2 linked regions of the Caenorhabditis elegans genome follow. The protein of the gene in region 1 purifies or fractionates together with the protein of each later gene. This does not show direct contact. Each region holds a gene or a part of one and is shown on either strand. Other genes may lie near its edges.

The links.
Region 2: the proteins of sdz-30 (region 1) and nep-5 fractionate together in Caenorhabditis elegans (co-fractionation; one large-scale study listed by BioGRID). This does not show direct contact.

The regions. Positions count from the first base shown.
Region 1 is NC_003279.8:13,305,236-13,309,471, forward strand, and holds sdz-30 (SKN-1 Dependent Zygotic transcript), read left to right. Parts: upstream 1-1,815; coding exon 1,816-3,450; downstream 3,451-4,236.
Region 2 is NC_003280.10:5,486,592-5,491,456, reverse strand, and holds nep-5 (NEPrilysin metallopeptidase family), read right to left. Parts: upstream 3,314-4,865; 5' UTR 3,307-3,313; coding exon 3,257-3,306; intron 3,210-3,256; coding exon 2,900-3,209; intron 2,856-2,899; coding exon 2,638-2,855; intron 2,588-2,637; coding exon 2,215-2,587; intron 2,166-2,214; coding exon 2,007-2,165; intron 1,962-2,006; coding exon 1,463-1,961; intron 1,418-1,462; coding exon 1,200-1,417; intron 1,155-1,199; coding exon 1,026-1,154; intron 980-1,025; coding exon 851-979; 3' UTR 819-850; downstream 1-818.

The sequences.
Region 1 (4,236 bases):
CTGTAAAGAAACATCTCTGACCAAACGAAGGATTATAGAAAAAAACAAACCTAGAAAAAAACAAACCTAGAAACCTTCTCAGGACAGTCCTTGTGTAGGAGGACTGCCTCTTATGGGGACTTTGATGTGATGTGCTCCAAGTGATAACATTATTAAATTAAACCTGTGAGAATTCGATGAAAAATTTTCTTCTATGTTTGATATTTCATTTGCTTTGTTCAAAAAATTGAGATGAGACAAGTTTTATGCGTATTGTTTTAGTGCAGAAACAACATAACTTTTTAGCGTCTTGTTCTTGAGTTTCAGAAAAAAACCGGCAGAAGCAACTTCTACTCGACTTCAGCTACACAAAAGACGATTCAAGGAGGGTCAAAATGTTTGTTAATCATAGAACCTTCCAGGAGTCGACAGAAAAAACACGGGGAATGGTAACTAGCAACTGAATGAGCACGGAAAAATTATTATGTTATACCTACAATGCCTATAGTTAATTGGAAGTTTGAGCACAAATACTGCATTTTAAAATAGTTTTTCCCTTCTTTATTACGGAAATTTGTAAGACCATTATTTTATATGCAAATCCGTTAATATTTTCAAGCCTATGAAGCAGTCTTTAAGGTTTCAAATACCGTATTTCCTCTATTAGTATTGCACCCGACTACTTAACTTTGAAACGTTATATCTCGGTTCATTTTAAAGATATCAATATATTATTAGTTACAAAATTATAGAAAAAGAGCTAATAAATATTTTGTTAGTTGACAATTTTTGAATAAGGCAAACGATAACTGAGATATAAGCTTTCAAAGTTGATGTGAAATTTAACATTTTCTATTCCATTCTTTCCTTGTCAATAAATCCAAAATAATTGGAAAAAAACCTCATGAAACAGCAGCAAGATCCATTTTTTGACCAAAGTACCCTAGTTTCAGATCGATATACCACTGTAATGGTCAACAATCGATCGGAATGTCAATTGACAAACAGATGCGTACACCTAAACTCCGCCCAATTGTCGTAGTTGCTCTGTCAGATCGACAGTACACATTTCTTATTCATTCATTCATTCATTCATTGTACCAGCACACGAAGAGGTTGCTCTTTTCTGATTTTGTTTCATGTTTGTTGCCAGTTACCGTCTTGGTAATTTATGATTTTTTTTGTGATTTTTCAAAAAAGAAGTCGTTTTTAATTGTCTATCAAACCTTTTTGAACTCAAAACTCCTATCAAAATGCAAAGAAAATAACTTTTAGGGCAGAAAACCCTCTGAAAAACAGTACATCGTACATTGACAATACTTTTTGCTCACTTTGTTCCATCCTTCATAATCATGTTTAATTCACTATCCTCAAATTTTGCTGTAATTTTTTCTGCCAACTCTTGGGAAATTCCGTGAATTTCAAACATTCAGAGTCTCTTTATGTACACTATTATCGGAAATTGAAAAGTGAGCAAAAAGGGTTGTCGATTTGCTGGTCCCTCCAGGTCCATGAAATGTCTCAAAATTGCCACAAAACGGACAAATATCATGCCGATACTTTAAAAAGCCCGGAATTTTTCACAAAACGTTACAAAACGTATGTCTTTTGGGAAGTTCAAAACGTCTGAAATCGTTCAAAAAATGTAGAGTTTCTTGAATTTCACAATTAACATTCCTTCAATTTTCCTGCAAATTTCTTGCCCTCATGTCCACTGTGAGTGGTTGAAAAAATCAAAAATCCCTTAAAAAAGCATTCCTACAATCATTTTCCTTTTTTCCCTCATCTAATTCTGAAACTTCACACTTCATTTTCCAGAAACATCTCCAACAAGCCATGTACCCTCAATACCCAGCTCAACCAGCTCCAGGCGTCAGGCCCATCATGTGCCCAAGACCATTGCCCAAGTTTGCAATGGGAAATTGTCCCGTGACAAGAACGCGAACAATCGGTGTTCAACGATTTGGTCAATACTACATGTTCAACAAGCATCCGGCGTCACCCAAGCTGGTCCCACACAAGTGTCTTCAGTGTCAAGCGAGAGTCACCGAAGCGGATCTTTATCCTAAGTACTCGGTGGTCTGTAATAAGACCTCGACGCTCGTCATTTTTGTGCACAATGGGATCACGAACAAGATCGAGCAGTACGCCTATTCTCACTCGACTGGCGGGTTCGTGGAGGTCAGCTTTCCGGAACTCGTGTACAACCCGAGCCTCGTCACTCATGGTAACCTGGTCGTGGTTATTAAGGGATTAAAGAATGAGAATATTGTGATTGAGAGAGATCTTAGAGGTGGAATCAGAAAGCAATCCTCACATCTTGGACCATTCCAAGCGATTCCACCGGTTGTTGTACGTACTCTTATGATGCAGGAGATAGAGAAGGGTATAGATGTGACTGGAAACCCGGAAAACCCAGATTCTGCTGTAGAATCTGATTATGATTCCGAAGAGGACGATGAGGATGAAGATGATGAGGATGATCTCGACGTGGACGATCTCAACTACCTAGATTCTCTACCAACTTTCAAAGTTAGGATCTGCCAAGCTAGTCAGAAAGAGGTTGTATGTGTGATCAACAGTTGTAATGGAAACTACATCAAGTACATTTACAATGACCATACCGGAAACTTCGACTTTTACCAAGGTACATCTAAATTTGAAGTCACTGAGGATAGCTTGGTGGCCAAGTATTCCGAGTTTCACCAAGGCTTGAAGAAGTACGTTTTTCATGTTCATAATTTGGAGAGCAACCTGATGGAGAAATATTATTATCAAGCGGAATTCAATTCCCTTGTTCAAACTCATTGTAATGATCTGATTTATGATCCCGCCAAGATTACCCAAAGTCATGTTCTAGCAGTAATCAATCGGAATGATCTACCACAACCGGTTGTAGAAGTGATTGTTAGGAACTTGTATGGAAAAATTCGAAAGGAGATTCCAGAAATGTATGGCTTCATTCAGACACCAGTTACTGTGAAAACTTTCATAGTTCAAATGGAAGAGGAACGGAGAAAGAAGACAAAAATCATCTATGATAAGGTTCAATTGGCGAAGAAGAAGAATAAGGAGATAAAATTGAAGAAGAAAGTTCTGGAAGAAGAGGAAAAAACTGAGAAAATGATGGAAAATATGACTCTAGAGAATTCTGAAGATCAGTCTAAGAAGGATGAAGCAACAGTGGATGCTGAAATTAGAACGGAAGAAAGCGATAATCCTTTCAAAAGAATTCCGGTAATCGATGCTCAAAAACGACTTATCGATGCGATATTTCAAAGGCAGATCGATTGTAATATTGAAGACAGTGAGAAGCAACGGATCAATATTGACATTCAGAGAGGACTTAAATGGTTTCAAGAATGCAAAGAAGCAAGGAAAAGGAAAGAAGCTGAAGCGGCACAGAAGACCTTGGAGCAAAAGCATAGAGCAGCACTATTGACCTTCAGGGAAAGACATGATGATCAATAAATTTCGATAATTCTTTTTAACTTTTCATTGCTTTTTGTTTTTTTTTGTTTTTTTTTGTTTCTTTTTGTAATCAGTTTTTTACCAATAAACTATTTATTTAATATTTAGTCAATAGTTAATAGTTTACAGAAGCAAAAATATAAGAGGTATGCTCTATCAGCGGTGCGCGCACGTGGTGTTAGGCTGTCCCATTACGGTTTGATCTACAAAAAAGTGCGGGAGTTTTTCGCCCAAAAATATGTGACGTCAGCACGTTCTTAACCATTCGATATCAGTTGAGAACTCTGCGTCTCTTCTCCCGCATTTTTTGTAGATCTAAGTAGATCAAACCGAAATGAGACACTTTGACACCACGTACGCACGGCAAACAATTTTGTTCCGGAAAATCGGCAAATTGCCGGAATTGATTTTTCCGGCAAATGGGCAAATGGACAAATTGCTGGAATTTCCAAATACCGTATTTCCTCTATTAGTCTTGCAGCCTCTATTAGTATTGCATGCAAGACAAATAGAGGAAATACGGTGATAGTCTTGCAGCCCTATTCTTACCAGACCAGCAGGATTGTTGTGAAAACTTCAACAATTTTGCCAAATTAAATTTTAAAGTGTTTAAATAATTGATAAAACAATAGAAAAGTATATATTTTGCACAATTTAGACTGTTTCAAGTCAAATTTGTGACGATAAATGATCAATTTTACAAAGCTATTGGATCTTCGAAAATTAGTCTTGCAGCCTCTAATAGTCTTGCAGTCTCTATTAGTCTTGCACCCCTACGGGCCAATT
Region 2 (4,865 bases), on another chromosome or scaffold:
TGAAGAAAGTCCACTGCTAAGAATATCAGCCATGATTGAATGATAAGCAAGTCCGGCTGGGAAATAGGCAAAAAAGTGTGGATGATTCCAGTGAGTTGCTGGATTAAAAACCACTTTCTCCAAATCGCCATAGATTTTCTCCCATTCTTCCGGCGCTTCTGGTGGTGTTGATGGAACCTTTAAAAAGTGAATAATTAAAAAAAAAGAGAATTTTAAAACTTACTAAAGCAGTCATAAATCCAGGTTTCACATTGGGAAGTGGTTTTCTTTTCCTTAGTCCATACCAATAATCAGCCACGATGTCAATCACTCGGGTTCCTTCTGTGCGTAGTTTTTGAGAATCCATTTTCTCAACGATTCCGATTTTTGTAATCGGTAAAAAAACGAAATAATTGAAAATCGATTTGTTGTGTTTTTTGTTTATTCAATGTTTCATATTAATTTTCGCATTTTTCAAAGTGTCACGTTTCATTAAATTGTTAGGAAGATGATTTTTGCTAATAAGAAAGTTTACTTATTTATTATTAATGAAACTTGATAATTGTTTTAACCGAGTGTAACATTGGTTAAAACGATCGAAATTTCTAGAACTAAGCCCACTTTTCTGTAACATTTTTTGAACTATTTGAAAAATCGCAATATTATGCAGTTTTCGTAAACTGCCAACCACAAAAAAAATGAAACTTCCTCGCTTCTTCCAATCGCCTTGGCGTTTATTTCCAGACCGGATGGGAAGACTAGTCGGAGAGTCTTTCCGAGTTTGAATGATGATCTGTTATAATGTTAACGACTCCTTTTTAAGCTGTTAGTCTATTATGTAATAAAAACACATTCATTGAAAACTAAGTACTCATGAAGCCAGTTTGCATTTCGTCGGAGGGTTCATCTTTGTTCCGTTGTTACATTTAAACGCCGAATTGAATTGTGGAACACTCGCTAGAGCTTCATTCACGTTATCCGGATCCGAGGTGCACATTGTCTGAAACGACTGTTTTATGTTAAAATTTACTAATTAGACCGCATACCTTCACCATGCTGTAGAAAAACAAAGCTTCATCTGATGATTGCTGGATTCCTGGGAGCGTGGCATATGGTTCTTTAGTTGAATCATAAGCATTCCATCCAATACTGACGCTGACGCCAAAGACGTTTTGCTGAATAATAACTTATTGGTCTTGAACTAATTTGTTTTTTCCTACCATCATCCCATCGAAGCATTGTACTATTATTTGGAAGTATCGTTCTGTTTCAGTATTCCACCAATTACGATGATTCCCGTCCGAATCGTAGAACCTGCCACGTTCATCGAAAATGTGTATCATTTGGGGAAGAATTTTGGACGCGATAGTTGCGAAATTTGTATAGTTTGGAAGGTTTGCAGACATGAAAGGATAATGGAGAAGAGCTCGTGAAATTGCTGAAAGAAATTTCTTTTTTTTTAGAATTTCAGAGAAAGACTTACTTATTTCATTTTTCTCAACTGAATAGAAAACTTCCGAATTCAAAAACACTGTCACATTGTTTTCTGCGACAGACTTAAACATATTTCTGGTTTGCCAAAGAAGAACATTTTGAAGAGTTGATATATAATTGGACTCCGGTGTTATCTTCCCAACAAGCTCATCAATCAAATCTTCTCCAGTAAATCCAAAAACTGTTTTCGTTTTATTAAACTTTTTCTGTGCTTCTTCGATTCCTCGACTGTCCATCCATTTCAATGTAGCTAACGATCTTTTCAGTTGATCTTTAATTGTGTGGAGCATTCCATTTAGAAGGTTCAATGCTTCCGGTTCTTCGGATCCATAGAGCACAATTTTTCCAGGAATGGTTGTTGACAGCTGATGAAGACAAGTATCTTCCAGATCAGATGCTACTTCTGTTCGAAGGAATTTGAACGAAAAGCGAAGAAAAAGAAAGTTGTATATAGTTTCAGAAGGTGTAGATGAGATGATCGCATTTATCTGAAAAAAAAAAGAGTTAGATATTTTTAGAAAATTATGTTTCACCTCTTCATAATAACTGGTATTGAAGCCATATACTTTTTCTTTCAGGTGAGCATAGCCATTCGGAATCCAGGAATCAATCAGTCTCTTCCAATCAATTATTGGCATCTGTCTTTGAATCTCAGTCAGATTAACGACTTCTGGGTCAGCTTTGAACTCGATCTGAGATAAATTTGTTACTATTATTCTACTTAAACGTTTCAACTTTTACCTTTTCCAATTTTGTCTGAAGCTTGATCACATCATTCAGCTGCCTTTGTCTATCGAATTCCAGATCTATCATTCCGTTTGTGGAGCTCTCCGGTGCATTTCGCTTCAAAATATCGTACATATTCCGAAACTTAAAGTTTGTGAGAACAGGTGAGAACGGTTTGACGACGAACAACGAGAATTCAGAGTCACTTGATGGTTTGATTCCTACAAATCCAGCATCATCGGGGTTGTGAAGTATGATATGAGCCAATATTTTTGTAAGGAATGGGTAACTGTATGTCGTGGATGAATTTGAAGTAGAAATAGGATCAGATGGTTTTGTCCATGAGTTGTTGAGAAGCGGGAATGGAAGACCAGGGAGGATGATTGAGCTGAAAAAATTTCTTGAGTCAGCAGAGGTTTTCTAAAGTCCACTGCCTACCTCAATCGTCCAACTTGATGAATCTCTTCAGTTTTTCCCATTGCACATTTGCTCAACATTCTCCTCACAACATTAACTGCCTTTCGATGATCAGGCTTTTCCTGAATATTGATCAATTTCATGAGTCTCTCAAAGTCTTTCTTTCTTGGATTGAAGCCATTGCACACGTGGTGATGAAAGTTTTCGCAAGGATTCACCGAAGAATCCATCAATTCAAGCTGAAAATATTTTGTAATGTGATTATATATTGTAAAACCATTACCAGTTCAGCTGAATACTTTACACATTCCTTTGTTTGACACGGTAGATCCAGCATAATTCTCAGTGCTTTCTGGGGTTTTGGTTCCCATTTAAACGCCGAAATATCATGGAGACCCAGCGCTCCGAGAGCAAAAATGAGAAGCACCAGGATGACCAGGGTCGTGATGACAGCTAGAACGGTGCATGGTTCTGGACGATTTTGCAGTTTTTGCAGTTCCTCGATTGGATCAGGAACTCCGATTTCAACATGTGACACATGATTTTTATTTTTGTTCTCCGGATCTTTAAAGAATAACATTGAAGATTGATCTCTGAAATTGGGAGATTATTAATATTAAATGAAGTAAAAATTACTCACTTCGACATTATGTTCTCTTTTGGTTTTTTGATAAAATCCACTGGATTCATAAAGAATATTTGAAGTAATAAAGTGTTTTTGTTGAAAAATATTCAATAACGTGGAATTTATTTTTAAAAAATAGAAGGCATTGCGTGGCTGAACTTTCCTGGCATAAGAACGTGATTACTTATTGGCTCGCTCTTTTGGAGCAAACCTTGTGTACAAACGTCGTGTTCAGAACTTTATTTGGCATAAAATTGAATGAGTTCGAAGCTAGACACTTGAAAAAAGATTTTTGGCTTTCAAACTCTTGCTCATAATCTTGCCCTCATTTTTATAGTATCAGAATATTTGACGAAGAGAATTATGGCAGAAGTTTGCGACATATCACGGGTTTTTTTTTTAACAGTGTATCTTGCAATCCTTATAACTCAAGAACAACTATATTAAACGAAGCCTACTTCGGCAAGAAAAAGTCTACAAACGATTTTTTTGTTTCAAGAATTTATAAGGCTGTTCTAACTACATACCTCATTAGCTAAACTGAGTAGTAGCCCTGAAAACAAAAGTTTATATACAATTATGGCCGGCCCTGTACTAATTATTAAGCCACAACGAGTGCAGATCATGTTTGAATACTTTTAACTTGTTTTGGCTCTAAACAGCTCGAATTTGACTCCTTTCTCCAAATTCATAGAATATGCAAAAGAAATGGAGTAGTGACATAAATAACACTTTGGAGACCAACTGGAAAGCAGGCAAATTTTGTGAATAGGAAGGTTTTCTTCTTGTTCATCTTCCGCTACCTACTACTTTATTTGTTTTTGGGCACATTTTTCAGTTGTAGACATTTATGCGATTTCAGAGATTTGCCATGTTCGCTATTCTTTAATCTTTCATCTTGAGTCAAGTAATTTATTTTTTCATTATTTAGGTTTTAGATGGGATTCTAGATTGAAAGGAGATTTTTGTTTTAGATTTTTTTTTATCTGAAAGAGTGATTCAACATATTCTGAATTTTTCTGAGTTTTCTAAACAAATAATTGTCAAAGTTTCCGAACTCCATAATTTTCGGCAACCACGACCTTTATTTGGAAGTTGGCAGCTTTAGTGTCGGTTTCCGAACAATGATTTCATAGGTCTTTTGAGCACTCGAAAGAGGCCATTCTTCGTTTCAGTTATAAAAAATTTGAAATGGAGTTAACTCAATTTTTATTCACCCCAACAAATCAAAAATTCCCAGAGCCATAGATTTTCATCTTGTCCTTTTTCATTTTCACATTTTCCTTCTCGAAACTTCTACCAATTAATCATATTTTTCGCTTTCCCAGTAGGTCATCTCCTTCAGACAAAAAAGTGATTCATCTTTCGAAATTTCTCCTGCCAGGACAATTAGGCTCAGCATATGTCTTTTCCCAAGAGATATTCACAAGTATAAAAAGTTTCATAACAATCTGAGAATTGAACTTTTGAATTTTTCTTTTAAAGGGCGATAACAAGTTCTAATATTTCTCCAACATCATCAACTCCCCGGGCAGCAATTTTCGCCATTTTTAGAACTATTTTCTTGTTTTTATTTTGTTTTTAAAGCCGTTTTAGAGACTTCTCTTATGAGTCTTTTCCAAAA